3 linked regions of the Nothobranchius furzeri genome follow. The protein of the gene in region 3 purifies or fractionates together with the protein of the main gene of each other region. This does not show direct contact. Links are inferred from orthologs where the notes say so. Each region holds a gene or a part of one and is shown on either strand. Other genes may lie near its edges. The genes, in order: sdf2, sdf2l1 and dnajb11.

What was found.
Region 1: the proteins of dnajb11 (region 3) and sdf2 purify together in Homo sapiens (affinity purification with mass spectrometry; 3 studies listed by BioGRID and IntAct, counting the BioPlex papers as one, with this or other methods). This does not show direct contact. The link is inferred for Nothobranchius furzeri from reciprocal best matches to the Homo sapiens genes DNAJB11 and SDF2.
Region 2: the proteins of dnajb11 (region 3) and sdf2l1 purify together in Homo sapiens (affinity purification with mass spectrometry; 3 studies listed by BioGRID and IntAct, counting the BioPlex papers as one, with this or other methods). This does not show direct contact. The link is inferred for Nothobranchius furzeri from reciprocal best matches to the Homo sapiens genes DNAJB11 and SDF2L1.

Annotation. Positions count from the first base shown.
Region 1 is NC_091750.1:60,578,696-60,589,217, reverse strand, and holds sdf2 (stromal cell-derived factor 2), read right to left. Parts: upstream 6,752-10,522; 5' UTR 6,369-6,751; coding exon 6,185-6,368; intron 5,482-6,184; coding exon 5,285-5,481; intron 5,135-5,284; coding exon 4,835-5,134; 3' UTR 4,169-4,834; downstream 1-4,168. Other genes in the region: supt6h (transcription elongation factor SPT6), read left to right, coding at 9,839-9,938, 10,020-10,187.
Region 2 is NC_091757.1:21,483,273-21,493,810, forward strand, and holds the start of sdf2l1 (stromal cell-derived factor 2-like protein 1), read right to left. Parts: upstream 6,294-10,538; 5' UTR 6,223-6,293; coding exon 6,027-6,222; intron 1-6,026.
Region 3 is NC_091754.1:36,586,510-36,596,962, forward strand, and holds the start of dnajb11 (dnaJ homolog subfamily B member 11), read right to left. Parts: upstream 6,163-10,453; 5' UTR 6,047-6,162; coding exon 5,973-6,046; intron 5,613-5,972; coding exon 5,456-5,612; intron 4,734-5,455; coding exon 4,636-4,733; intron 991-4,635; coding exon 858-990; intron 766-857; coding exon 623-765; intron 440-622; coding exon 357-439; intron 278-356; coding exon 220-277; intron 130-219; coding exon 18-129; intron 1-17. Other genes in the region: tbccd1 (TBCC domain-containing protein 1), read left to right, coding at 10,083-10,145, 10,235-10,453. UniProt on the Homo sapiens protein: As a co-chaperone for HSPA5 it is required for proper folding, trafficking or degradation of proteins.

The sequences.
Region 1 (10,522 bases), on a different chromosome or scaffold from region 3:
AGAGGTCGACGCTCCCTCATGTCCAGAGGTCGATGCTCCCTCGTGTCCAGAGGTTGATGCTCCCTCGTGTCCAGAGGTCGACGTTAACTCGTGCCCAGAGGTCGACGCTCCTTCGTGTCCAGAGGTCGGCGCTCCCTCCAGTCCAGAGGTCGACGTTCCCTCCAGTCCAGAGGTCAACGTTTCCTCCAGTCCAGAGGTCGGCATTCCCTCCAGTCCAGAGGTTGATGTCCCCTCCAGTCCAGAGGTCAACGTCCCCTCCAGTCCAATGTCTCCGCCGTCTCCAGTCCAGAAGTCAAAGACGTGTCCTCCAGCGTCTCTGCCTCCGGTCACCGCCAGTCCTGCCCTCACCAGGCGCGGGCCCCCAAGAGCCCGTCGTCGCCTCCTCCTCTGCCACAGACGCAGGCCTCCAAGAGCCCGTCGTTGCCTCCTCCTCTGCCACAGACGCAGGCCTCCAAGAGCCCGTCGTTGCCTCCTCCTCTGCCACAGATGTAGGCCCCCAAGAGCCCGTCGTCGCCTCCTCTGCCCCAGGCGCAGGCCCCCGGACTCTACTGGTCCCTGCCTCCTCTCCGTCGGTCCCTCAGTCCCTCTTGGCCCTCCCTCCTGGTCCCCCTCCTCCCGCCCTGCTCTATGTTCCTGCTGGGGTCTGGGATATGCCCTTTTAGGGGGGGGGGGGGGTTACTGTCACACCCTGTCCTGTCTCCCCATTCGGTTCAGTCCTGTGTTCATGTTAATTGCTCCCACCAGTCTCTCTCTCGTCTCCCAATCAACCAAGGTCCCAGCTCCTCCTGTATTTAAACCCTGTTTGTCCATTTTGTCTGGTTGGTTCATTGTTTCTATGTCCTGCGTGCTTGATATTAAAACTATTGTAAAACCGTTCCTACCTGTATGCCTGCCTTCCTCACCCGCGTGTGGATCCTCACCTCATCTCCGCTTTGCTCACCGGCACGTTTGTGACACTCTGAATGTGGGCAAAAGGTTACTTATGTGTCATGCATTAACTTTACTCTGAGTGCAAATGTTATGATCTCGTCAAGTAAACATACTAAAACAATCACTGAGCACAGATTAATGAACATTTCATTATTTACAATTACTATCAGTAGCAATAACAAAAGTTCATTCAATGATTCTTTTTTAATTATAAAATATTCTTTTCTTCTTCATGTGGGAATAATGGAGTTTATTTGAGAGAGTTCCTGTGATGGACCTTGGAGGATAAAATTGGTATTGTTTATTTCTTCATTATCTCTGCAGTCCAGCTGGTGTGAGGAAGTAGGCTCTGATTAAAGGGCTTACGTGTAGACTATCAGACTCCTGTCAGAGGAAAATATACGTAGGATGTTTGATAGCCAGGGTAAGTTGACCTGGCTGTGCACATGACCTGTGGGATCTCAAAATCAGGCCATTTCGTGATGTTACAAAGCATTACGGTAAATGTTGTTACCTGTGGAGCAGAAAGCGTGCAACCTCAGCGTGACTCCTCGGGCTTTGGTGGTCCTTCAGTTAGTTCCATTGAAAGTGTGCAATGTCAATGCTAGTTTTTTGGCGCTGTAGTTTCCGGATCTGCTCGGGGTCCTACACCTGCCGATGACATCATCATACTACGGCAATACCGCTCGGCCAAAATAAATTGCATCTCTTTTTCGATTCTGTTCTTTCACGTAGGTTTTGGAAAGAGTTTCGCAGTTTTGTTGTGCATGGTGGTTCATGTTTCTTCCTAATTAAATATTTTCGAACGTGCTAACATAACTTCCATTAAGTCGTATATCCAGCCAGTCATCTAGTGTGATGTCATCAACAGGCACAGGACACTGAGCCGGCCAGAAGGAAACATGGCAACTAATTTGCCATCCCCCAAAGTTGCTAGACCCGCACCCTATGTACTTCAGACCCAATTTTTATGGTAATACGTTACGAAGCCGTAGGGCTGGGCAATATGGCCTAAAATCAACATCACGATACACTGAGGATTTCACCTCGATAACGATAAATGGACGATAACTACAGGTATGTGTAGAAACAAAAGTTGTCCACTAGATGGGGCTGTCACATGTATTACATCGAGTTACATTGGCTGTGTTCCAGATGAGCCAGGTTTGCACAGATTAGATCACCGGTGATTGGTGCACAGTGCATGCCGGTTAGATTTGTGTCTGACTTGACGCCGACTTGCTCTGACATCATGTATACACAACGATATAGTGAGATCAAGGTGGCCACAGATTTCGGAGCAAGGCACTGCAGTTGCTCTCCACCGGCTGCAAAACCTAGGGTATGACAGGAAACGCCTGGCTCTCACGTGATCTAAGATCTGATTGGTTCATATTATGATCCATGGACGTAATTTTTTTGGGGGGACAGGGGGGACATGTCCCCCCCACTTTTTCCAAAGTCAAGTTTTGACCCCTGCACTTTTTACCATCCAAAAACAATAGTATGCTATATTAAATTGACACTGGTTGAGCTCTAGGACCAAGCGGAAAACAACCGTTTGTGTTGATGCCTGTTTCCCATTAGAACATACTGTAAAGATACCCCCCCCCCCCCCGTGTCCCCCCCACTTTTAAACTGAAAATTACGTCCATGTTATGATCCAAACATCTGATGATAGAACATGAAATGTTAGTTGGTAACATGTATTCTGTAAATCATGTTATGTTGATGATGACAACTATACAGGCCATAAAGAGAAATGTGTTTTGTTTTCTTTTGCCACGTTTCCTATGAGCAAATTAAATCTACCGCTGATAACCTTTACTTATTATTACAGTCATGTCTCCATATGCATTATATTATATCCACAAGCACGTGAGGATGTGTTTCGGTTGCTAACAGGCACCAGAATTAAAATAAAAAATTAAACGAGTATGAACGCTAACGCGATAGCTTCATCCATCGTCACCCGCGAGCTACACATGTGACTCAAGGTGGTACAGCTTCTTAAAGGGACATGAACATTGCCAACCTACACATCTTTTCATTTTTTCATTATTAAGTTGACATGGGAAAAATTATCTCGATGCGAGTCAGAAATTTCAATAACGAAACATTTTCGAGTTATTGAGTCCTACAAAGCCGCAAATATTTTTCTACAACTGGACAACATTTTATTAATTTTCAATAACATTTCAATGGATATTTCCAGAGATTAAATATAAAAATGCACATTGTCACTTTAAGAATCGTTGTGGAGGATTCAGAAAGCCTCTTGTGGCTCCAGAGCCACAGCTGCAGACCTCTGCCTCAGCCAGTAGAAGGTGCGCACATGGGCATCCAAAATAACTTAACCTAACTCTTAAAAAGGAAATGTGACTTAAATCTCCAACAAAAACTGTAGAAACCTAAAAACTCACACTAAAACCCACAAGAACCTTTTACAACACATAGTGACTCCTTTTTTAAATTACCTAACGATTTTGCACACAGGGGCTGTTTATCTCATGTTTACTTTTCAGTCTGTTTCCTGTCTCTGTGTTGTAAAAAAATTGCAGCTACTGACTCCACTAAAAAGGCAAGAAAATCTAATTTTCTAAATAGACTTCATCACGCTGCCTCCACGGTTTTTACTCCTTAAATCTATTTGGAGATAAAACCAAAGAGGATTTCTGCCAAGTCCGATTTCTGATTCTACCAAATTTCTTCCAATAAAGTACTTTTTCCTTATTTGTATCACCAAGTACTTCCTCAAGATTAAGTCTTTCTCATAACACACATGAACTAATCTACAGAAGCATCTGAAAGTCTCCACAGGTGAACGAGTGTAGCAAACACACATAAAACACTCGTCTACTCCTGCAGTGCTCAGAATTAATCGTTACAGGTCAAATACGAGTTAGAGTAGCCTCATCACATTGAAACCCCATTAACTGTCAGATAATGAACCAAGAGACGTCATTAAATGGGCAAACAAGGCATTAGGCAAGACCAATGGTCCAAAAAGACATTAACTACTTGCCTTATTTGCAAGTCCTTCATTAATTATCAGATTCATGTGGCAATTTCTAACTGCTCGACTGTTTTTATTTGAGGCTTGTTTATTTCATGCTGTATAAATGCAGCTAACTTATTTCTCAAGGATTAGCTCAAAGTGCTTTGGTCCTATGCTGGTTGTTTGTTAATAAAGTTGGACTTAAATGGATTGACATCAAATAAAAAAGTCACAGTGGTGTTTATGCATGAAAACACTCTTTAATGTGAGGAGTTTTATGCTTGTGTGAAACTTTGGAGCACATTTGCTCTCACAAAACAATTTGAGTGTAAAACTGCACAGACTAAACAATAAACCACCAAACACGGTTAATAAACGGCATCCAGTTAGGGGATCCTCTAATTCACAGACACAACACTGCTGCTTGTTCTTTTATGGAAATCAGTGCAGAATAACTTAGATGCAACATGGAAACAAAGAAAATATAATTTTAATACTGCTGAACTCTTTGTTTAATATGGCTTAAAAATATAATTTTAAAAAGAGCAAAATGATAGTAAAAAACCCTGTTTACAAAAGCTTAGTGATGTAAACACCCATAACTTTTTACAGGTTTTTATAGGCACAGGTGTAACAGGATATCTTAGACAGAATTCACTTGGTGAGTGTGTTTATCTGCTTTCTGATCTGTGGTAAAGAACCCGGTTTACTTGTTTTTTTAGTGCCACAGACCTAAATAAAGAGGATTTTAATACAATCTCAGAGCAGTTGCTGCATCTTTGATGATACATCTCCTGTGAATATAAAGATGAGACATTTTTAGGGGAAAGAAGGTGCTGGTTCAGATTTTATGGTGGATATGGACAGACCGGACAACAGACCGACGCAAAAACAGAAAGGTGAAGTTCAGAACTCCGTGTGGGCGTGGCCGTAGTCTCGGCTGCCTGCCGGGCTCTCACTGGGCTTAATGAAAATGCCCTCCATGGCTTTCCACAGGCTGTGCTGACTGGCACTCTGCATGGCATGAACCTCCGTCTGACCGTGGATCGGCCGTCCGTACTGCTCCCCCGTCACAGACAGGAGCATGTCGGTGGCTTTGTGACGGAAGCGAACGGCCTCCTCGCGCCTCCACACAGATCCTCCACACTCAACCGTCCACTCGTCCAGGTGGTCTCCTTCTCCTTCCTCACCGAACGCGCTCACCTCCTGCAGACACAGAGAGAAAGAACTAATTGTTTAAGATGACACGGTCTCATGCGACCCAAGTGTACACGAGTTTCAAAATCTCCAAAGGGATGAAAAATCCTCATGACACCAAAATCGGTTCTTTCATCATCTACCTCCTCATACACCCACCTGGTTAGAAGACAACGGAGAGGAAAAGTAATGGCTGTGTAGATTGCGGCCGGTGTTGACATGAGTGAGGCGAATCGTCTGTCCGCACGTCACTGGTGACCCCCGATGACACGAACTGTCTCTGGTCCCACGGATGCTCCAGTAACTGTTACTGTCCTCCACCACAGAGACACCTGTTACAGACTGCTGGCCGCTACCTGTCACACACACACACACACACACACACACACACACACACACACACACACACACACACACGCACACACACGATGAACGATGTTATTGGGCCGAAAAAGTAAATTTGATTGATAAATGAAAAGTGACATTTTCTGAGTTATTTAACATTAAATGGAAACTACTCTAATCGTAATAGCATCTTATTATAATATTTACATTTACACTTTTTAGCAGTAAAATAAAGTAAGGCGGATGGTCCTGAAGTATTCTTATTTTTTTTACTAGAGAAATTCACAAATGATTGAAAGGCTGGAAGTCAGGTGAAATGTACTGAAATTAATCGTCAGTACAGAAAACTTGCAGTGAACATCTTAGACCGTTTTTTACAATTAATTTAAAAGGTTAAAGGTTAAAGATTAATGGTTAAAGACACGCATCTTAGACCGTTTTTTACAATTAATTTAAAAGGTTAAAGGTTAAAGATTAATGGTTAAAGACACGCTCAATTAATTCCTGATTCATATTAAATAAGTAACAGTCAAACCAGATCAGCCTGAATCTACGACGACCTGACCGACAGTGTCAGACTGACATTTACCGTTGCATCTACAATAGACAACCCGATCTTTTGTAGCTACAAACACCAGCTAACGTGACCGTGAGGAAGCTGTACCTTGCAAACATCATATTTTGAAGTGAAATGTCAAACGAACCATAACTCACCGGATCCGTAGCGAACATCGTGAGAGTGCAGTCTTACGTTGTGCCTTGTGTTCAATAGTTTAATGACTGAACCGCATGTTACAAAGCTCAGTTCCGTCCCAGCAGAAAGCCCAAATATACAGAATAAAATTAGTAAAAACGCTGGTAGAAAATGGTCAAAAATATCTAAGTTTAAGTTAGCCATTCCGACTACAACTCTAACTCCAATGCCACTGACAATACCTCCCTAGGCTTTGTATCAGTTTTCGCTACGTCAGTAGTAACGTACCAATGTAATGACATTGAAACAGCGCCCCGTGTGGATTGGAGAGGTAACGTCGTTCTGACATTTGTTTATCTTTGGCTTAGAAGATGATTTCCCTGTTGTTGGAGGAAAAGTAGTAAAATTAAAAGAGAAATTATAGTTCACTGCACATCTCCTTTCAAATCATTATTTTGTATGATTTATTTATGTATTTTGAAATTACAGGCATAATTGGTCATTTGTTTATATTCACTGATGAGTCCCATTTTAGCATTATATCATTCTGAGACTTCTGAGCACCTCATCAATCAATCAATCAATCAATCAATCAGTCAATCAGCCTATCTATCTACCTATCTATCTTTCTATCTATCTCTCTATCTCTCTATCTATCTATCTCTCTATCTATCTATCTATCTATCTATCTATCTATCTATCTATCTATCTATCTATCTATCTATCTATCTATCTATCTATCTATCTATCTATCTATCTATCTATCTATCTATCTATCTATCATCTATCTATCTATCTATCTATCTATCTATCTATCTATCTATCATCTATCTATCTATCTATCTATCTATCTATCTATCTATCTATCTATCTATCTATCTATCTATCTATCTATCATCTCTCTATCTATCTATCTATCTATCTATCTATCTATCTATCTATCTATCTATCTATCTATCTATCTATCTATCTATCTATCTATCTATCTATCTATCATCTATCTATCTATCTATCATCTATCTATCTATCTATCTATCTATCTATCTATCATCTATCTATCTCATCTATCTATCTATCTATCTATCTATCTATCTATCTATCTATCTATCTATCTATCTATCTATCTATCTATCTACTCTATCTATCTAAACAACTCTTTTTAAAATCTAAACCTCAGAAGGTGGCTTTGTTTATTGTATTTTATTGTACTTTATTTTCAGTGTTGGGAGTAACGCGGTACAAAAGTAATTAACTATAATGTAATGCATTGCTTTTTGCTGTAAGGTATTACAGGGAAAGAAAATGGTACTATTTACTCGGTACAATTGTCAGTAACGCGGTAATTACAATGCATTTTTAAACCCAGAATCAAGATGTGGGTTTCCTAAAAATTCAAATTGCGGGAAGCCTGAAAAAAGATCCAGTATCTACATATATTATGTCATTTATGGACTCAGCTTTGCGGGCATTCTATGAGCAGAGAGGACGCGGCGGTAATGGCTCAACCAGCTGCGTCCTGCGCGCGGCCGCTGTTATATTCACAAAACCGCTCCACCAAAACAAAGTAATTCGTTTGCGATCGTTTATATCAGCCCATATTCTCTGGTACTTCATGTAATTTTCAGCTGAGTTCATAATCTGTGCCCCGGTGATTTCAACTCATTGCTGCTGGAGCGCAGCGCATATGAAGCTTTTTTATTTATATTTATTTATTTATTTATTTATTTATTTATTTATTTATTTATTTATTTATTTATTTATTTGCGTTTGGTAGATCCCTTTGGCTGATTAGTTAGAAAGTAGGAAATCTAGGAAACAGTTTTTCTGGAAGACAGAGAAAACATGCAACATGCAGGAAGGTTAGAGAGAGAAAGGGCAGGAAGTTATTCACATAAAATCAAGAAAACAAAACAATGTGCTTGAAAAGGAAAAAAGTAGGTAGATTTATCCCCAATACACATTTTTACCAGTGAAAAGCAATAATATACATAAGCATTTTAATATTTATACTAGTGATAGAATCGAATCACCCCAGAAGTCAGTCCCACATCCAGGGCCGTATCAAGGCATTTGGGGACCAAGGCAAATAGCTTGGAGCCCCCACCACCTTACTCCCTGCTCAGTTAATATAAGATGGCAGCGTGCTGAGATTGTTGCTTTCATTTAATAAACAATCATTTTAAAGCACTGTTATTATATCTGACTGTTTTTAACAGCAATCCTAGCTCAAACACCACATCACTTTCCACATATATGTCATGAGCTCACTGAGCGTCAGATTACCAGATTCATATTGAAGTTGTTTTGGTGAAAGTTACTTCAAGTAATGCAAAAGTAGTGTAATGCCTAAAAGTAGTGTAATGCCTTACATTTTTAAATCAGTAATATTGTAATGTAATTAATTACTTTAAAATGAGGGTAACAAGTAATAAATAATGCATTACAGTTTTGAAGTAACTTGCCCAACACTGTTTATTTTGATCACATTACCGTATTTTCCTTTATTTAGATCACATTCTGCCATACACCAAACATTCCACTAGGTGGTGGAAACGGACCCCACAGCGTTTTCAACTCACGAGGAAGAATTAGAATTTCCACACTGGTCTTCTCGGCCATCTTTTTGTAGTGCAAGCTCAAAAATACAAAACACAACACAAATATTTGACATTTATAAGTATATTTGGATTATACAACTGCACGGAGACGTGTAAGTTTGAATTTACCGTGGTAATTTTGGAGGGTTGAGTTACACGTTGTGCTTTTCGTTAGGTTTAGCTGCTTGTTCTTACTAACGCACAGCTTAAGCCTACCAAGCTAATATAAGTGTTAGGTTAAGAGGCCTCGGTTTATTTTCGCTAACTGTGGGCGTGGTAAAGCCATACTTTCATTGTTATCTGTAAATTTTGTTTACAGACATTTTAATATCAATAACATAAAATAGATTAAATGTTTAGTTGTCGGTACGTTTATCAGCTAGCTTGCTTACATTGCTAGCGTAGTTAGCATCCTTAACGGTTATGGCACACAAAAGGTGTTACTCTAGTCATAGTTTCTTTCGAAATCTGCAGTTATATTGACATCGGCTAACGGCGATCATTAACGTAAACCACGTCTGTAACTTTTATGTTTAGCTACTTAGCTGTTCTTGACATTATTCAATGCTGTAAGTACGCATTGCGACACAAGATTGCTGTCTCTGTGGTTACGCACTTACTTTGGAGATAGGAAAATTCCAACGTATTGTCCACAAACACGGATTTATAGTATTACTGATAGTTACTTGTGAGGAAAAAACTGAATTGTTACAAATTACATTATAAAACATGTGCTACGTTTTACTTGAAGATAATCAGGTAAATAATGTACAACAGCTGATGTGGTTTATCAGATGGTCTTAGTGTAACAAACAGTTTAGGTCTAATACAATAATAATTTATTTGAATGATAAAAGTGTAGGCTTAATATGTATGTGTAGTATCTAATAGGTTTTTGAGAAGTTAAAGCTAACTCAGGTGCTTCTCTGTGCAAACATTTCTAACCATGATTTGAGTTTTTGTTTCTTTCTGTAAATACATTTATGATAAATTAGAGAAAACTTAACTTTGTAATTTTATCAACAAATTATTCTAACCAATTCTTATTTCTTATTCAATTTCCAAGGAGCAGCTGTCATGTCAGATTTTATTGACAGTGAAGCTGAGGAGTCGGAGGAGGAGTTCGAAGAGAAGGACCTTAAGCCCAAGAAGACTCAGAGGTTCCTAGAGGAAGATGGTAAAATCAGAGTTTTTTTTTTATCAGTGTGATTGACCTTTGGTGTTAGATGGCATGTTGAATGCTGCCACTTTACAACAGATGAAGAAGAAGATGTGGATAATCCAGAGGAGCAGGATGAGCATGGAAATTTACGTGGACTGATTGACGATGGAGATGATGATGCAGAAGAAGAGGAAGCAGAAAAAAGTGCAAGTCCAGCTGGAAGTGATTCCGAAGAGGAAGTCAGGCATCGGCGTAAAAAGCGCAGTAAGTTAGGAGTTATCAGATATCCAGTTTTAGAATTTGATGGCTTAAAACATACAATATCCTCCGAACTTTCTGTTCTAACACACTTTTTTATTTTAGCTAACGCTTAGGATTACCTATTTCTGTCGAATTAATGAGAAGAGTTACGTGTGATTACAAATCATTAGTGTAAAATAGGGCTGCACAGTATTAGGAAAACGTGCAATATTCGATAACAATGATTAATATTGCGAGGACGATATTACTTGTGATAAATAAAAACTTAACTCAGGAACAAAAATTTAAAAAAAATCATAAAAATGAGAAAAGCTAAAGATGTGAGGAAAGGGAAAATG
Region 2 (10,538 bases), on a different chromosome or scaffold from region 3:
AGCAGGAGATAGGCGTAGGAGACTATCTTTTATCAGAAGCTAAAGCAGGAGATAGGCGTAGGAGACTATTTTCTATCAGAAGCTAAAGCAGGAGATAGGCGTAGGAGACTATCTTTTATCAGAAGCTAAAGCAGGAGATAGGCGTAGGAGACTATTTTCATGTTGAGCCTGCATGAAACACTAACTCGGTGATTGATTAGAATCAGAAATAAGATTTAAAAATGGCTTTTCTGTGAACCACACCTTTAATCATGTTTGCCTAACAGCCTGTTTCGAGTTCCTGTAAAAAGACAAGAAGGTTTAACTGACAGCTGGTCAGGTTGGCGGTGAAGATGGAGACACCTTCACGCTGGCCCACAGCGGTAGCAGCAGCTGCAGCTTTGGTCTTGATGACTAAATTATTCACAAATGAGGAGGTTTTAAACATGAGCTCTAACTGGATTCACATCTTTGTTGTATTTATCCTTCATTTGCAGCTAGGAGCCACTGATTCCACTGATGTTGCCCCTGATGTCAGCATTATCAATTATCTATCAGCTTTAGTCTGGGGTGGACCCATATGATCAACATGCTGTCCTCTTTATGAATAGGTTCAAATTAGGCCTGTAGCGACGCCTCGATGACGTCGAGGATTCGATTCTAAAAAACCGTTGACGTCAAATCCGGAAGTCGACGCACCATGTGACCAAACAGAGCAGCGCGGAGAACAAAACGCCGTTCATCTGATACTCAGCAGCAATGTCTCTGGTACCCCGGCGCCCTACCTCAAAGGTGTGGGAATATTTTAAACGGAGCACAAAACGTGAAAGTGCCGTTATTTGCAGTCTTTGCACCATGGAATTAGCTTATCACACCAGCACAACGTCCACGTGAGAGCATCTGAAGCGGAGGCATCCCGTTGTTACCCGTGACTCCCGCGAACAGAAGTAAGTAACATTATATCATATGTTTGCTAAATTGATTGCATGTTTGTGTAAGATGTGTGTGAGCTCTGCGCACTTCGGTAGGGCGTGTTTGGTTTGGCTAAACATAGCTTTATTTAGCTAACGTTAATTAGCGATAGCATATAATGCTGGCCCAAATGGCTAACTAGGTAATTGCTGCTAGGCAATGACAAAATCTATTGTTGTACAAAACATGACTTAACATTACAAAATTAGCCACACCAGCATTCTCAAATGACTTAATCATGGCATAGCACCGCAATCAGGCTAAGAGCAGATTTAAGACGCCATACTTTCATAGCTGTTGTTCTGATATGCTCCAAATATGTTCTGGTTTGCATTCTGCAAAGCCTATACTTGTGTGTAGCTTATATTGTTGACTTTATTTTTTATTTGGCAACAAGGGCGGCGGCAAAGTAATGACTTTACTGCAACAGGGAAACATGTTTCTAACTGTGGATTTGACAATAAACATTTTTAATCTTTGAATTGATTTTGTGTTTTCCAGAGCAAAGCAAAGAACCCTGTCGTCTTATCTCGGGCAAGAGATGCAATGCACACCTCAGAGGACAACCGGCTGAATAAAACGGTCTTGAAAGTAATAAATATTAGCTAACTGTTGCTTGCTTTCAGCATCTTTTAGGAGGAAACTGCTAACCATGTAAAAAAAATAAAAATTCACCCTCATTTAGATAAAAACATGACAAATAGGACAAAATAGGGTCCAGTGTCTATAATCTCCAGCGTTTGCTTTTGTTGGCTTCTATTTTCTTCATGTCCTTGTGTGATTTGTCTAGTAATCAAATGTTGAATGCTATGTTGTTTCTATATTTATATTTTCCTCATCTTACAGTTGATAAAGACATGAGGCCTTTGTCTCTTGTTGAGGGTGACGCCTTCATCGATATGGTCGAATACGCCTGTCCCGGCTTCAAATGGCCATCCAGGTGGTGGTTCACAAACCAGTTGGAAAAGACATACGAAGATACTCTGGAGAATTTAAAGAAGAACATAAAGAAGAGGTCCTCAAAAATCACGCTCACCACTGATGCCTGGACAAGCATTGCCACTGAGGCCTACCTTGGCGTGACCTGCCATTACATCGACGACAACTGGGAGACGGTCTCATTTGTCCCCTCGAAGAGCGACACACAGCAGACAACATCGCTCTCTGGATCGAAGAGGTTGCTGAGAAGTTTGATTTCTCTCTTCGCAATGATGTCCAGGCAATAGTCCACGACAACGCAGCTAATGATGTGAAAGCCCTACGGATCCTTGAGGAGAGGCATGGTGTATCTTCCCTTCGGTGTGCTGGCCATACAACACAGCCGATAGTCAACCAGGCTCTGAAACACCCCCAGCAGGGCACTTGGGGCAGCAAGGGAGCTTGTCAGCTACCTTCACAATAGCAGTTTTGCCCTCCTTAAACTAACGGCCAAACAAGAGCAGATGGGCACTCCTCAACACAAATTAATCCAGGATGTAGCTGTGCGATGGAATAGTTCCTTCTATGTGATTACGCGCCTCCTTGAGCAGCGCTGGCCTGTAACTGCAGCCCTTTCAGACCCAGAGGTCACTAAGGCATCAAAGCGTTACCTTGATATGAAAGCTGAACAGTGGAGCCTCTTGGAAGAATTACAGCAAGCACTTGAGCCATTTGAGCAAGCCACTGTCTTCCTTAATGGAGAGGCAAACGTCACAGGATCCGTCCTGCCGCCTCTGGTGAAAGGTCTACAGAAGTCCACAGAGAAAGCATTTGATTGTGCTCCCATTGCCACCTTCCAAACAACAGTCGCTGCAGAGATTGCTTCAAGGTCAGTGTAATTATTCTGCTCTTGAAATTAGGGCTGTCACGGTAACCGCAAAAATGAAATATCACAATATGACGAAGCCCACCGCGCTGCATCATGGGCCACCGCGATTACTGAACTTGGTTCAACTCAGTGATGCATGTTGAGAAGGACGGCTGCACTGGTATCAAAACGAAACGTTACTTCGCTCCTTTGGGAGCACTTTGGTTTTCAGTACGTCAGCTGCTGCGCAGCCAGAGTCCTTGGCCGAGACAGAGCTGCCACCAGCGGCAAAAAAATAATAATAAACGCTCGGAGACCTGCTGAAGTCCCGGACAAGCACTGCTTCTGCAACCGTCCCGAAGAGAGTTTGAGCCGAGCTGGAGCTCACTCGCTACCTGCAGGAGGAATGCATCCACCCTAAAGAACCCCCCTGACATGGTGGAGCAACAACCGGGAGAGATTCCCTTTGCTCGCCAGTCGCAGCAAGTACGTGTGCGTTAGTGCAACGAGCGCACCATCCGAGAGGGTTTTCAGTGTTGCTGCAAATGTTGCCCCCCCTCTCAGATCCTCTCTCAAACCGTATATGGTTAACATGCTGGTTTTCCTTGTGGGTAACAAGGACGTGACCGAGCTATAAAGCACCGTCATTCGTGTGTGTGAAAGTGAAATGATAGTGCGCGCACGCCCGGTACATGTCATTTTTTATGCTTGATTTTAAACAACTAAACAAAATGGGGACTTGTTTCTTATTTGTTAGATGCTGCAGCCAAATTTGCATTTAAAAGTTTAACCTCCTGAATTTTGTTGTTTTTAAGTTCAGTCGGACTCCGACTGTCAGAGGAACTAACGTTACTGCGATCTGTGTTGTTACTGCCCTTTGATCTGCATTCAGTAAAGTGTTATTAAAGAAGGCACGGCAATTTTTAACCTTTTTTAAATGTGTAAACATTATGTTTAGATAGTACTGCAATAAAAAAAGGGCTGCAATAATATCGCACACCGCAATATTAAGCCACCCTGAATCACCGCAGGAGGAATTCCTCAACCGCGACAGCCCTACTTGAAATCTAGTTTTAAACTAACTAAATGTATTTTAAATTAAGCTTTCCCAGTTTGCATCTTAATGTTTTCCTCATATATCATAGAGCTGTTGCTTCTACTAGTCTTTCCCTCCAAGCACTTTGAATTTATGTAAGTGTAAAAATCATAACCGTTATGTTTCAGATGGAAGAGTCAGACTTCATATGATGAAAATGAGAATAATGTGAGCATCTTCGCGGCAGCCCTTGATCCACGATTCCGAAAGCTGAAATTTCTTTCCACTGATGGATGTCCTGAAGGTAAAAATCAAACTTCAGAGCCTCGCACTTGAAGCCAGACCAGTTCTAGTGAAGGAAGAACCTAAAAAAGGATTTTGCAGTTGTTTTCCAAATTTGGGTTTCTGGGGGTTAAACAGTTTAATTTTGTGTTAAACACTCGGGGATGTTCATGCTGTGACCTGCCTGTTTTGCACTAAAACTAGAGTTAAACTAGAGTTATTGGAACTGTGTTCCAATAATAATACTGCTTTTATTTTGTTTTAAGCAAAAGATGTTTGACTTTGGAAAATCGTTGTGTAATAAAGTCATTTATACAATTTTGGGGGTATTTCTTTAACATATTTTGGTTTTAATCAATTGTACAGCAAAAAAAAAAAAAAAACAATCATAAGATTAATCATTTAATTAGTCATTAGAATAGTCGACTATTCGATAAAATAATCGCCAGAATAATCGTTTTGAAAATAATCGTTTACCTACAGCCTTAGTTCAAATAGCCATAAACTAGCTTACAGCTGCTAACATAGCGCATGTACACTGAAATACTTTATAGATGCGACTACACATCTGAAAGGGATGTTCCACCCTTAAGTGAAAATCTGTCCATTGTCGTATTCCCCAGAGTTAGAGAAGTGAGAAAAAGGACATTTAGTAACCAGTGCAGTGATTCTCCTGGTCTGCTTTAGCTTAGCATAAACAACGGAAGTGATTAGCAGGAACCAGCATTGTGTGTGCAAAAGTGATTCAAAGGACTCAATGATACCAGTTAGTCCTGGTGAGCTCAGTAATCATGTCGACTGCAAATGAAAATAAGAAGTAGCCCGATGGATTTGTAGGAGCCCATTTAGACCTGATTGTTCAGGTATGATAACTGTTCAGTTTCCTTGTTGTGAAATTCTGTTTTACATGTTGTTAATAAATTTGCTCCATTAGGAGCCAAATTAATTCCTCTGTATGATTTTCCCTTATTTTGAATGGATAAATATATGTTGGGTGGATTTTTCCCAAAAACCCTCAAAAACATTTAGATGGAAATACTTTCTAATAAAAGTTAAAAATGAGGGGAAAGAACCGAAGGTGAAAACCAGAGAAGTTCCCAACGGCACATACTGTTCCAGGAGAGGTCCGTCTGGAGTTCTGTCAACTAAAACCTCTCTAACTTCTCTATACTTCTTTTTTTTTCATGATTTTTGGGTCAGCAAATGTTCAGACCCTATTCTGTGGATTTCTAGATGTTTTAGGCTGCAACGAGGTATTTTAGAAGGAATTTTAGCATCATAAAGTGGATTTTTTTTAGGCGGAACAGATTTTTTTTTCTAATTTCTGCTGTGTTCCAGATCCTGCTGCTCTCCATCAGTGACATAAGTGATGCGTAATCTTTAGAGTCTTACCTTTATTTTGATACCAAAACAGCTCAAATAAACCTTGTCGTTTATGAGATATGCTCAGAAAATATCTGAAAAATGGTCTAGGGTTCAAGAGCTTAAATGTTTATTTATCTTTTTTTGTACCGCAGCAAGTTCCTAATGTTGTGATTCGCGCACACGTGGCTTGAAACCCTTCTGATTCACATTTTAATGACTATCTGACACCCTGACTTGTCAATTTGAGACATTTTAAAGCTTGATTTCCACGTCTGGGTCGAACTGAGAACTGAGCTTTAGATGATTGCACCTTAACTGCACGCATGCTGCTCTGGTGTATGGTGTTCTGTCAGAACGCCGGGGCATATGTAAATAAAACACAACCAGGACTAAACCCTGAGGAGTTCCACCAAGAGCAGAAGCACCACCACCAACTGGGACTGTTGCACTGAACCCCCCGAGTGAGAGGAGAGGATGACCCGTGCTGTGGCTCAGAGATCCGTCCTGATGGACTATCCCATCTACTGGAGGAGTCTGGTGGTTCACTAGCACACTAGGACCCGTCAGAGCTCACGCGGGCTTTAGTACAGGTGACGGTGGGCTTACCTGAGCCGTACTTGACATCGTGAGAGTGGAGGCGGACGTTGTGTCTGGTGTTGAGCAGCTTGACCAGGGAGCCGCAGGTCACAAAGTTGAGCTCCGACTCTCTCCCCTCGCAGCTGGAGCGCAGCAGCAGCAGCAGCAGCGACAGCAGCGGCGGCAGCGAGCGGACAACGCGACGGACGCAGGAAACGCTCTCCATCTTCAGCAGCTGCTTCTGCTAGCAGGTACAAGCGCTGGGAGAGTCCCGCAGACACGTCACTGGAGTGTGCGTCTGCACCAATCAGCGCGTGACAAGTCCCAAGCAAATGACTATCCGAACGTGATTGGCCAGGGTACTTCTGTGTTGTCATAACGCTGACGCGACACGTCCACTGGTCCGCCATATTGGAAGGGGAGACGCAGCCAAGAACGCAGTACAGGCATTGGTGTTGGTGGTCAGGTGTTTTCACCATTACACAGCCTGTCACCTGCGTGCGTGGTGGAGTGCTTTTCATCCACTAGACTAGCCTGGACCCCGTAGGCATGGCCATATATAGGTCTATTTTCTAATCCAGTGCCATTCACATTTGGTGCCCATTTTGATGCCAAGAAAGCACTTATTTTTGAACGTCACCAACAGTTATTTTAGGTTTGTTTGAAATAATAATTTGGTTGATGAACAAATGTTATATGAATACTAAATGAAATGTTTTGATTAATCTGTGAAATGTGTATATTATTACATTGAAAGATTTATATATGACGATCCGGAATGTTGGATTTAACAAGTGAATCATTGTCTACACTGCATATCTCCTCATGACGCAAGGTTAATGTAATTGCAGACACATAGATATTTTCTTACCCACAAATCAGAGCAACCCTATCCGAAGAAGGCGTGATGTCTGAGGTTTGGTGGTTAACATCTGGCCAAGCTCTGATTGGCCACACAAATCATAATATGAGAATATTAAAAACAGAATCACTTGCTGAGCGATTCAGCATTCCAGCTTTCCAATTCAGCATTCAAGCATTCAAGTTATGAGCATAACTTCGACTGGCCATCGGAGGGAAACTCTAACCATCCCATCTACAGCTGACACCGCAAATGGTTCCTTCAGCACCAAGGCGAGACAACTTCAACTCCTTAAGATTTATTCCTAAGACGCAAACAACTGTGTGACCCGGCGACATCTCAGGACTGGCTTGGTCGCCTCGCGATTATCCTATGAACCTCGAGGCACTGGGGTCACCAGACTCCCTCGGATCCAATCGGGGGTCTCCATAACAGGTGCGTGGGCTCACCAGATTGTGTCTGATGTGATTTTAGAAACCATCAATTAGTTTAGAGCAAACCAAATTCACTCCCTTCTCCAGATACGAAGGTTCTGATAACATCACATTCATACATCATCACACCTCACATCCCACCCACTCAGATTCATTCATCACCTAATATGTGTTTCCTAGTTGTCATGTTTTTAACTGTTTAGAAAATACATTCTTACGTTTTATAAACCTGACTCTCTTCTTGAATTAACACGAAGTGTGTTTGATCCCTGAAAAAGCAAAGAATCCAAGAATCTTCTGATTAAACATTCAAAGACCAAGCAGGTTGATATTCTATATTTATATACAATATTACATCTTCCTGGTCATAAGTGAAGGTAATATATTAAGCTTAAAAGCACAATATTTACCCCTCTACATATTATATGTACAACGTTACAAATCTAAACTTAAATCTAAATAATGATCATTTACACCTGCATGCTATTCACATCATCGTATCCTATTTGCAACTTCAGAATGGCGGGCCGCTCTGTTGGGACTTATGAAAAAATTGAGCTGACATATCTGGCGCTGTAGTCTGGTTCCTGCATGTTTCAGATAATGCACACCGCTTATTTGGTTCATTTAGTAATGAATCACTCTTGTAGACACTTATGAAGGCTGGGAGAGGTTTCAGCTGTTAGATTAAGGTGTTAAAAATACGAACGCACAACGAAGACATACGTTTGACCCTAACCCACCGAGAATTAATAACGGACACTTAGGGGGTGCTAAAAGCAAGCAAAACTGCCAAGTGTGCCTTTAAATGCATCTAAATGTTAAATCTAAATACTTATTAGAGTTCCTGCTCTTCATGCCTGTTACCCTAGTAATAAAAAATAATGAACAATTTGTACAAAAACAATAGGGTTCCCTGCTCTTTAATCGGGATAATAAACAAGTTACGTTTGCGCTGGAAGGATGTCTGCGGCAGCGCAGATTTAGCCCCACTCCCCTTTATACGTCTTATCCTTTGTGAAAAACACATTATCGTAACACATTTGGCCACTTATGAACGACGAAAGGCGCCCTGAAGCCGACTCAGCTATGTAGGAAAATGGCTTGATTGAATTTTGAATCAGGCTTGTGCAACACAGCTGTTAGATGGTAAGCTTAGCTTGGTTTATAGCAACTTTATAGTGTATGAACCCTTCCACTTATATAGGCTAACCAAGTGAAAAACCACCTGCAACTTATCGTCATTGCTGCTGGGCACAATGCAGGGGGAAGCGCGCTCTGAAGAGTAGCTTGGACACCTGCCATGACGGCATGTTCAATTGTTCCTGCCTAGAGCGAGTTATGCAAGTCTCTCTTCAGTTTTAACTGGTCATTACAGCCTATTACCAGATCCTAGCAGAGAAATAATTGACAATCTCCTGTTCCTGGAAAGCCTTCAGCCATCCTTCGATGACTGAAAACCACCATCAGCTCTGTCTCCTGTCTGCCTACAATTATTATAATAAATATTGTGTTTGACAGGTTCTTTGTGCTGCCAAAATGTCTCTTTTTAAGTCCAGTTTTTATATTTTAATGGATATTTATAAATTATCATCCATCCATTTTCATCCGCTTATCCGGAGTCGGGTCGCGGGGGCAGTAGCCTAAGGCGAGAGCAGACTTCCTTCTCCCCAGCCACTTGGGCCAGCTCCTCCGGGGGGATCCCGAGGTGTTCCCTGGCCAGGTGAGAGACATAGTCCCTCCACCGTGTCCTGGGTCTACCTTTAGGTCTCCTCCCGGTTGGACGTGCCCAGAAAACCTCACCAGGGAGGCGTCCAGGAGGCATCCTGACCAGATGCCTGAGCCACCTCAACTGGCTCCTCTCGATGTGGAGGAGCAGCAGGTCTACTCCGAGCCCCTCCCGGATGACCGAGCTTCTCACCCTATCTCTAAGGGAGAGCCCAGCCACTCTTCAGAGAAGACTCATTTCGGCTGCTTGTATCCGCGATCTCGTTCTTTCGGTCACTACCCAAAGCTCATGACCATAGGTGAGGGTAGGAACGTAGATCGACCGGTAAATCGAGAGCCTCGCCTTCTGACTCAGCTCTCTCTTCACCACGACAGACCGGTACAACGCCCGCATCACTGCAGATGCAGCACCAATCCGCCTATCGATCTCACGCTCCAGTTTTCTCTCACTCGTGAACAAGACGCCATGGGGCGATGGTGGCACAGGAGTTAAGTGCTCGCCCCGTAATCGGAAGGTTGCTGTTCCAAACCCCGCTCAGTCTGTCGCTGTCGTTGTGTCCTTGGGCAAGACACTTAACCCACGTTGCCTGCTGGTGGTGGTCGGAGGGACCAGTGGCGCCAGTGCTCGGCAGTCTCGCCTCTGTCAGTGCGCCCCAGGGCAGCTGTGGCTACATCGTAGCTCATCCCCACCAGTGTGTGAATGTGTGTGTGAATGGGTGAATGACTGATTGTGTTGTAAAGCGCCTTGGGGGGTTCCAGGACTCTAGAAGGCGCTATATCAAATACAGACCATTTACCATTTACCAAGACCTCGAGATACTTAAACTTCTCCACTTGGGGCAGGACCTCAACCCCGACTCGGAGAAGGCATTCTACTTTTTCCCGAATCAATCATTTTTAAATGATCACTTTGTTGCATGTTTAACTAGCTCTAATGTGATGAATTAAACTGGCACCTCACTGTTAAAGGCTCATTTTAAATTCAACAGTGTGTTTGTATATTTATGGACATGAACAAAAAACAGGAAATATATTATTTATTTATTGTTTTATTCACTTCAGACTATTCAAACAAATCAAAATCAAATACAAAATAAAAATTTCTTAATTTAGAGGATTTAGAGATTCCTCTTTGGTCCTTAAAGAGCAAGTCACCCCCAAATAAACTTTTTTTCTGATAAACTGTATAAATGCGTGTCTAATCGTGCTGCAGGCACATGCAATCAATAGTTTTGCACTTTAGTGCATTTTGGTTAAAATTTTAATTTTCTGCCCAAAACTGTCAGTGTTGTACCGTTGTCAGGTAAAAACTCTGCACTGCATTTGAATTTAAATCTGCCATCGCTATTGACTAAGAGGTACCCAAGAATGTTAGCTGGTACCATATGATATAATAGACCCTTTTACTACCTACGTCATCAAAAGTTGCGCGCGCAGCCTGGCAACGAGAGTGAGGGCTTCCTCATTCACACGCGATACTAAAACAGCATTTTAAACCGTTTGTTTTGAAGTTCTGAG
Region 3 (10,453 bases):
TTGTAAATATACCGAACCTTGTGTCCGTCCAAATGAACGATGTCCATCTCAAAGCCAACCAGCGCCTCCACCAGAGAAATGGTGACATTGGTGAACAGGTCATCTCCTCTGCGTTCAAACACGGGATGTCTGGAAGTTACAGACACAATCTGATTACAAGAGGAGATCAACTCTTAAGATGGGAACAATCATCTGGACAGGAAGAACACTCGTCCATACTTCAACACTTTGATGCGGAATCGTAGGTCTCCAGGCTCACCATCAATGTGAGGTTCACCTGAGATCACAAGGCAAACATGAGGAACAGGTGAGGAAAACCAAACCGAAGCCTGCAGACTGAGCTTTGGAAAGACTACCTTCTCCAATGAAGGGATACTCCATCTCATCTCTCACTCCCTGCTCAATCTCTACCTCCAAGGTTCGCTCCTCGTTTACTAACCTGAGAAAACATCACACAGGTCAGAGATCAGCCTCCTCCAAGCCTTACCTCAGGATGCTTCTGAGGGAAAACCTTTCCCTTTGTGCTTTATTCAGACACTAGATCCATCCTTTATAGTTGTGTATGTTTTTCTACTGAATAGGGATCAAAACATGGATGGTAAACATCTGGACTGAGACTCACTTTACGTTGGGACACTCGTCGCACACGGTCTCCTGAGTCATCTGGAAGCGTCCCGGTCCCAGCTGTGTGGTCTTCATCTCCTGTCTGCAGTTACACTTTCTTTTACCAGGAGCTTCTTTGGCTACAGGCTTGTTACGCACAACCTGCACAACAAAGCAGTTCAGCAAATATTCAGAAAACAAGACACAAAACTAGAAGGCTCTGAAGTTTAAAACAACAAGTCAATTAGGAGTACCTCCACAAAGTTCCCCGAGTACACCTCCTCAAGCGTGACCTCCAGATCAAGTATTATGTCATTTCCTCTGGGGATGTTCTTGTCCTGTTGCTGCCGGTTGCCTCCGAACATGAAGCCAAAGTCTCCAAAGAAGCTTCGCATGGAGAGGAGCAATACCAGTGAGTAAATACAGAGGACAGGTAGTCCACACAACAGCTACCATCTGTGGTGACTGTGTTCCACTACGCTTCTGTGTTTGGAGGAAAACTATCCTAAACACAGTTTTGTGACCTTTTGGCTCTTTTGTAGATTTGTAATTCAACAAATTTGTGTAGAATTTGGTCTGTTCTGCTCAAATAATGAAAGTTAACTTTCCAAAAGCCTTGTCCTAATATCAACAATGGTGTTTAGAGTCAGGAAATCTGCATATTGAGGGGAAAGTGTACATTTAAAAAGTACTAAGATGTTTCAAGTAGTTTATTTTTCTTGGAAAAGGAAACATTTGTAGATGAGTTCTGATGCAGCAAATAAGATACACCCAACTGTGTGCAAGATCGGTTTCTGCTGCTAGAGAACACACATCCTTGGGATTTGCAGACATTAAAATATTTAATCCTTTTTTTTAAATCCAGTATGTTGTGTCATGTGGATTGTAGCCTATACTGCCACCTACTGAACAAATACACTAGCATCCTCACCAGACAGGGCTTCCTTCAAATATAAACCATGCACAGGTACACATGTTCCACCAGTCAGTAAATGCACTGGACAAGAGCCCTGGTGGGCCCAGAGTGGGCCCCTACCACAAAAACTGGAGCTTAAAGAGCAAGTCACCCCCAAACAAACTTTTTTTTGCTGATAAACTAAATAAACGAGTGTCTAATCGTGCTGCAGACACGTGTCGTCAATAATTTGACACTTCAGTGCATCTTAGTTAAAATTTAAATATTCTGTCTAAAACTGTCAGTGTTGTGCCGTTGTCAGGTAAAAACTCTGCACTGTATTTTAATTTAAATCTGCCATCGCTATTGGCTAAGAGGTATGCTATGATGTAAACTGGTACATTATGATGTCACAATGCTGTCGTGAGCCTGTGTGTGTGTGTATTTGTTAGCGGCTCCGCCCTCTCGGTCTGCTAGGCAACAGCATGTGTTGCATTTTTCAAACAGGAAGTGGGAGTTGAGTAAGAATCTGGTAGGGGGTGACTTGCTCTTTAAGGACAATATTGGGCCAAGACGCAAATGTCCCGTTTTTAGCTAAATCTAGTAATAAAGCTACATATCAGTGGTTTTTCTTTGTCTGCTGATGTTCTGTTGCATTGTTTGTGGAAACAAAAGATGATCATTTCAAATCTGCAACAAAAAAAATGCATAGCATTTATAAATACCCTCCACAAACCCTACCACACCCAGATTGATCTGAGTATTCACATTAGTATTTGGTAAACGTATGCCTAAGGGCGGTGCGCGGGTGTGAGGGCCTAAAGCGTAACATGCACCCGGGCCCAGCTTGACCATGCTATGGCACTGGGCCATACCTTGGTCTACCCATACTGTAGTTTTCATCAACACAAGGGATCAGGCTCTCCAACCCTGGTGCTTCCTGTCCAAAATTTGATTTGATTTGCTGCTCCAACAAACCCGATTCAGCTGTTGAATTACCTGTTCAACAGGTCATCCAGCTCTCTGGGAGCCTGTTAACCACCTGCTGACTAAAGTCAGGTGCGTTGAAGCAGAGAAACCTCTAAAATATGCTAGAAGTGGATCACAGTTGGGATCCCTAAAGCAGAAATCCAGAATTTTTTTCTCAGAGGCACCATCTAGAGGCAAAAAAAGTATTGCACATAAAACCCCTCCACCTACTCCCATGATTACAGCTACAAGCAACTCTTATTCATGAATGGGCACCTGTAGCCGGTTAATAGAGCTAAGACAGTGTTTTACATTTATTATTTAAGTGGTGGTGGGTTTTATAGATACACATATATCAGGGTTTCCCCCAGGCTTTGCTTACCAACCCGCCAGGCTAAGCGTCATGCCCCACACCCCTCCCCGACCCTACCGTGTCCGCTGACACGAACGGCGCAACGAAACTTGAGCCCTCCATCAGCTGATACTGGTGAGAACGCAAGATAACATATAGTCAACAAAACTGTTCCTGTTTCAAGGCCTTAAGCGTTCTCTTATCGCTTCTACAGGATTCCTCTTGCCTCCGAATAAAAGTGAACATTTTCAGCTCATATGAGTTACGGTAACTAATCATATAATGAAATTGACCATATGGTTAAATGAAATGTTTTGATTAATCTGTGCTTAGAATTAATAAGAATGAAATTAAATATATGACCCAAATATTTAACCAGCGTACGTGACTTGACAAGCACACACTCATGCACATGGTTAATCTCATGACACGCTGCTTTCTGATCCACAAATCAGAGCTCCTGTATCTGAGGGAGGTGTGCATCGGAGGTTGGTTGGTAAAACCCCTTTACATGTCAAATTCTGGTTGGCCATGTAATCATAATATGGAAATTGTTAAAACAGAATCACTTGCTGAGTGATTCAGTTAGTTTTTGAGCCGAACTCCGGACTGGCCACCGGAGGAAAACTCCCTAACCACCGCATCTCTTGACAAGCTGTCAAACCTGTTGCACGCTGCAGCGACACAGAACCTTGCTCCTTCGGAACAAAGCTGACACAGCCAAGACTCCTTCAGAGTCCATCGTTCCATAGACGCAAACAACTACCTGTTGTGATCAGGGAGACGACTCTGGACCGACCTGGTCGTACTGCGGTTTTTTTCTACGAACTTCGTAATCTTTTCTTGTTCGGGTGTTTGGCTTTGAACGCAGGGACCTCCAGCTGCGCTACCTTTGGCGGTCACGGTTCTGAACTTATCCAGTCGAATATGCTTGAGGTACCGATGTCTCCCATCTGGAGCTGCTTCATCGGATTGCTACCTGCATGGATGGGCGGCCTATACTCCCATCAGGTTTGGTCTGAAGTATGCCTTCAACATTTTTACTAAAATTCTAATAATTTAATGAGAAATGAGAGAAAGGGTTAGGTGAAGTCACTAAGGGAAGGCCGATGCACATCAGGTGTCTTTGATCAAGAGTTAAAAAGACAACTTCCCTTCTGAACATGGGTGTTGTGGGTGCCCTCCTATGTGTCCTCTGATCCTGAGTGGTTTTAAAACCAGGCAGTGCCAGGATTTTCTAAAGAACACCTGGTTTTGGGGATTAGCTTGCTTTCTGGCACAGCGCCCTGATCTGTATGTCCCAGATGACAGAGAATCCCCCAAAACAAAAGCATCTTGTCCAGTTTCCAGGTAAAATGTAAGCTTTAGAACATGCTGGGCTTGTCTTTCAGGAGTGCTGGGTTTCCTACATGAACCCTCAGGTGTTGGAAATGTATCTGAAGATATGTTTTCAATGAAGATCTACTTCTAGAGTTCTCTCAATACAGACACAAGTCACTGTGACCATTAATCTAAATATTATAAATAATGCTTGTTAGTATTTGTCTGCCTTTTCAGGTCTGTGTTGAGAGGGTAGCAGCTCCAGGATGTCTGTCCTCCAACACCGTAGCCAGTGGGACCCCAAGGTGTTCCCTGGGCAGCCTGGCGATGTGATCTCTCCAGGTAGTTCTGGGTTTACGCAGATTATCGTTTTATTTGTACAGAAAATAATCTTCATTTTAAACAGTTTGCTGCTTGTAAGTTACCAAGGTCAGTTCTTGTATCTTTATTGTTCTACCAAACAAGATAACAACAAGACACCCAAACCAACACTAACCTGGAGAAGATGTCATTGTGAGAGCTATGGTGGCCTTCCTTGAGTCCGTCTTCTCCATACATATCATACTGTTTCCTCTTTTCTTCATCTGAGAGGACCTACACACACACACACACACACACACACACACACACACACACACACACACACACACACACACACACACACACACACACACACACACACACACACACACACACTTTCTTCATACAACGTGTGGGGCATTTATTGGTAATCTTTCAAAGTTCCCTAGTGTTCAGTCACCACTGTCACACTTAGAGTTTAAAACATTTTGTGTATTAAATTAAACAATTTAAGAAAAAACTGAAAAATGGTCACCGTTATTAAGATGACAGATGAAATAATTAGGACAAACCCGTTATAGATTCATTTCCCAGGCTGCAAAGATATTACTGAATTGGGATTTTTACACTCATAAATCAGAACACGTCTGAAAGCTAAAAAAGGTGAAAACAGTCAATTTGGAAATAAAACCTTGCGCCGGAAACACCTGCAAAACCCTTTCAGAACGCCACCCCCACTTTTCCACGTATGCCTTTCCGCCATGCTCCAGCCAATCAGAAGCAGCCACACGGTCCAGTCGACCAATCACCGAGCTCGTAGCGTTTCCAACAACAACCAAGTAGCAAAGCTTACAAAAGTCTCACAATGGAGCCCACCGGCACTTCTGGGGATCCAGTGTAAGATCTCCAATATCCCTGTTATTGTGTGACTATGACATGTTTACAGCCGAGACGGGCTCGCTGCGCCCCTCTTGTCATGTCACTGACATCAGACATTACAACCGACTCTGGCCCACCTCATAAGCTGCTCCTAAATCCGCAAATTTGTCCTGAGCTTTGGGGTCGTCCTGGTTCCTGTCGGGGTGCAGCTGCAGAGCCAGCTTCCTGTAGGCCTTCTTAATGTCTCTTATTGATGCCGTCTTGCTCACCCCCAAAATCTTATAGAAATCTCGACTAGATCAGATGGAGAGAAAAAAAAACATAGCAGCATGTTCAGTATCACAGACATGTAGACATTATAAACAAAGCTGCTAGTTTAAGAGTTTGTCCCGACTGACAGCAGCTAGCTACACACCGGGAGAAGCCGGTTCGGTCTCACTCCTGTTAGCCTACAGCTAACTAATCAAACTAGCTTAAAAGAGGCCAGTTAGAGTCATACGGGTTGGTAATGGCGAATATATCGCTTTGATGGTAAACGACTAAATGCCGCTTAAGTAGTTAGTTGAGAGCGTCAGTCAGCTCCACACATGGAGGACGGTTAGACCAATCACAGAGGAACATGTGTACCAGCTGCTCATCGCAGCTCTCACTTACCCGGCGAGCACCGCCGTGGCGACATAAAGAAGCAAGCAGCACACGTTACACAGGTTCATGCCCTTTTTAGCCATATATCCGGAGGTTAGTGAAGGACCAGATAGAGAAGACGCAACCCGGCTTTCGTAGAAACCCACTGCCAGTCACTAACCCTCTTCTTCCTGTCAGAGAGAGCCCTCCTACGGCGAGAGGGCGGGCCTCCTCTCCGGCAACTCCGCCCCGCCTTAAAGGCGCACCGCCCGCCCGGTGTCGGTCCAGGATCAATAATGCCTGGCCATCAATAAAGTTATTCTCTAAATCATCCGGACTTTCACTCAACCTACATAAATGTGAACTGCTACCAGTTAAAAATTGTTCTGCAACTTCAATCCATGGAATACCTGTAAAAAAAACTCTGTAAGATACCTTGGAATTCAAATAATAAAAAATGAGCAATCCAGATGCTCCAAGAACTTTACTCCTATTATAGACAAAACCCAAAAGATCTTTAATTGTTGGCTACAGCGAGACCTATCAAAAGGAAGAGTTCTGATTTCAAAAGCTGTGGGTATCTCCCGTCTAACCTATGCTGCACAGTCACTACACGTTGATAATACAACTTGTAAATCAATTAGCAAATTGTTATACAATTTCTTATGGAAAAATAAAACCCACTACTTACGTAAATCAGTAGCTTTAAATCCATATGATAAAGGAGGTTTAAGCTTTATTGATTTCGGTGCTCTTAACGACACCTTTAAAATAAACTGGATTTAAAAGTATTCAAAAAATCCCACTTCTATCTGGAATTTTATCTCACATCATGTGTTTTCTAATTCAGGTGGTCTTAACTTCCTACTGCTCTGCAGTTACAGTATTCCAAAAATACCACTAAAACTTTCTCACTTCCATCAACAAATTCTTTTGGCGTGGGCACTGATTTACAAACACAACTCCTCCCCGCAAAACTGTTTTATTTGGAATAACTGCAATATTATTTATAAAAATAAAACAATTTTTTAAATAACTGGTTTAATAATGGAACCATCTTGGTTAGCCAGTTATTTGATGAAAAGGGGCTCTTATACAATTACTCTGAATTCCTTAGGAAATACAATATACCAATAACGCCCAGAGAATTCTCAATAGTGTTTGATGCCATCCCATCCGGTCTGTCCATGTTGTTCAGATGCTCCCACAGCGCTCCACTATCAGTCAGTCGCCCGGATGTGTTACATTCTTCTCTTGGCAGTGTTTGTTTTTCCTCTCGTTGGTGAATAACAAAATAAGAACTCTCTTTCAGGATACAATGACTTCTGTTCCATCGACCATATCTTATTGGGCTAATTTTGTAACAGATATTGAATGGAAAAAAGTTTGGACCTTACCACAAAAATTTCTTTTAACAGTCAAAGTTAAAGAGATTACATTTAAATTGATTCATAAGTTTTATCCTACCAAACAATATTTGTCAAAATTCATAGCTGATATAAATGTAAATTGTACCTCTTGTCAAGAGCAACCTGAAACAGCTACTCACTTGTTATGGTCGAGTAAATTTACAAGTAAATTCTGGAAGGACTTCCGCAAGTTTATTAATGACTCTGTTCTCCCTAACTTTCAACTATACTACAAAGATGTTATCTTTGGTCTTCATAATTTTAAAAACAAGGACAATGATGCTTTCTTCTTTGTTAATATGTTTTTATTTTTGGCAAAATTTCACATACAAAAAAAGCAAAGTCCTTGGCAGAAAACCTGAACTTCTTGTATTAAAAATGAAACTTGAACAATAAGGACGATCTCCTTATCAAAAAACACCAAAGCTCTCAAGTCTGTTAACATTTGTAACCATCTGAAACTGCTCGATTGACTTAACCTCTTCCAAACCTTTCTTTTTTTATTTTTATTTTTCCTTTTTCCTCCATGTCTTCATCATTTCCATCGTTCTTCATTGTAATACTATAATTCATTGTAATACTACAATGGTATGCTTTATGTGATCCCTGTCTTACAATTGTCTGTTCAAAATGTGGTAATTAAAGTTAAAAAAAAGGATCAATAATACCGGGGTCCTGCTGATGACGTCACATTACTGCAAATCTACTCAGCTTTCACACATACGCTTTGGAAAGACATCAGAAGTTTTGCAACACCTAAATGTTTTCTTTATAATTGTAATTTGTTAATAAAACACCATATTATCTTTGTTTTGTAAAAAATGTGAAACTAGGTAAAACCAACATCGGACTGACAAAATATAGAACAGTTCTTATATGTGAAGCCATATCTGTTTGTATTAATGTGGAGTTCATCTGTATATTTCCTTAGTTGTTATCTAAATACATTCTTTGACTCCTGAACCGTCTACAGATGGTTCAGAATGCCTGTGCTCGGCTTCTGACCAAGTCCTCCAAACACACCCGCATCACCCCGCTTCTCCTCCAGCTTCACTGGCTGCCAGTCAACTTCAGGATTCATTTCAAGATCCTGGTTCTGGTCTATAGGGCCTTAAATGGACAAGCACCATCATACATTGGTGATCTTCTTAGTCCCTACACCCCCAGCAGGTCCCTGAGGTCCAGTGACCAAAGCCTACTGGTTGTGCAGCACCAGGCTAAAGACCAAAGGTGACAGGTCATTTGCTGCTGTGGCCCCCAGGCTCTGGAACTCTCTCCCCCTGAGCCTGAGATCAGTGGACTCAGTGGTCTCCTTTAAAAAGCAGCAGAACACTCACTTGTTCAAGCTGGCTTTTGTATGCCCTTCTTCACCACTCTCTCTTTATTCTGCTCTCCCCACCTATTCCACCTTCCTCAGGATCCACTGATTTCCCTCTTTCCTGTTCACTCTCTCTCTTTCATAACATTTTTTAATCACAATTGCCTATTTTTGCTCATTTTAAATAAAATTTTCAACATTTTCAAAATGCTTTTTTATATTTTTACATTTTTTTGTTTTTGTGAAGCGCCTCGTGATTTTTATCTTGAGAGGCGCTATAGAAATGATACTTTCTTCTTCTTCAAAATATTGCTTGGTGTCTTTCAATAAAGTTCTTATATTTTATTTTACCTCATTTCATCAACATCAAGAGCTTTTGAGGGTCACCATTTATCATTTGCTTATATTTTACATTTCATTTAGAAATTCAAACGTATTTTCTCCAAAAAGTGTTGATTTTGGACTACAGGACCACAACCGCTAACTACGACCGCAAATTTGTTCTGACCAATCAAAATCATAACGTGATAACGTAACTTCCGTAAACTTCATGTTTAGCCAATCAACTACTTTGACGTCATCGACAATCGAAGGACCCCGAGTCGATCCTGCACCCGAGCAGGTCCTGTACCGACAGCGGTCCTTCCTACCCGTACAGCATCAGTTCTTTTAATGTATCTCCCGGTTTGGTTAACTCCGGGTCTTAAGTTTAATATAACTACAGCGTTTGTCGCTCGTCGTTGTCCGCTTGACGGCCCACCGAGCTCCCTGGGCGAGGGCCGGAGACTGGCGGTAGGAGCCCAGCTGTTAACCAGCGGTAGCCACGGTAACTAGCACCGAACTTCAGGCAAGTGCTTGAACAAGTGGCCGCTGTCGTTGCGCCATTAAAAGTAAGTTTAGGTTGTTTACACAGAATAGACGCAGCAGGGAGAGCTTGTTTGGCTAGTTAGCTTGTGTCTGAAGTGATGTGTTGCTATGTACAAAAGCCAAGATTATAGTAAACAAACTCTCATACAGGAATTAGATATAACACACGATCAAGCCGTTCACCGCTGATGTCTATGTAGGTGATGAGAACAAACAGAAAGTCCATTTGTTTCCTTTTTAGCAGACGTGGCTCAAAAACATAAGTTAACAAACTTGGACCAAAATAAACTGAAATAAGATCATTTTAAAGACATTAATCATTTACTGATTTTTATTTCTTCTTTAAATCTGACTGTCTTGAGTTGCTGTGATTCAGATCTGGTGCCAGAGTACAGACTTCATTTGGATAAAATCAGATTTATGAGGAGGTTACATGTTGCTCTGATTTTTGAGCGTGTGCGCTTTGTGGAACTACTTGCACTGAAACAACATAGTTTGCAGACATTGCGCATTGAGTGACGCTGTGCCACTGCTCTCTCATCAGACATGGAGGCAGGCCGAGTGGCCATATGGCCACGTATGGAGCCTTTCCTACTGGGTGCCCTGCAGGTGAACACATTCTTGCTGCTGTGATGTTGTAATATATTGCCCAGCTGATGTTAATGTTTTGAAACTAACTAGAGCCACTGACTCAATAGGTGGCGCCTTCCTCCAAACTCGGCCTTCCCTACCTTCGTAAAATGGCGATCTACGTGCAAACGCGGGATGGCTGCTTCCCTGTTCTGAGCTGGCCCAGGTGGAAACGCATTGCCTGTGGAAAGCTGCTGCTTCCAGAAGATGTGGCTTGGCTCTACTTTGAGACCTTTGACCTTTTAGTGGATCACCGTCCACAACAGAGGCTAGAGTGGGCTGAGCGT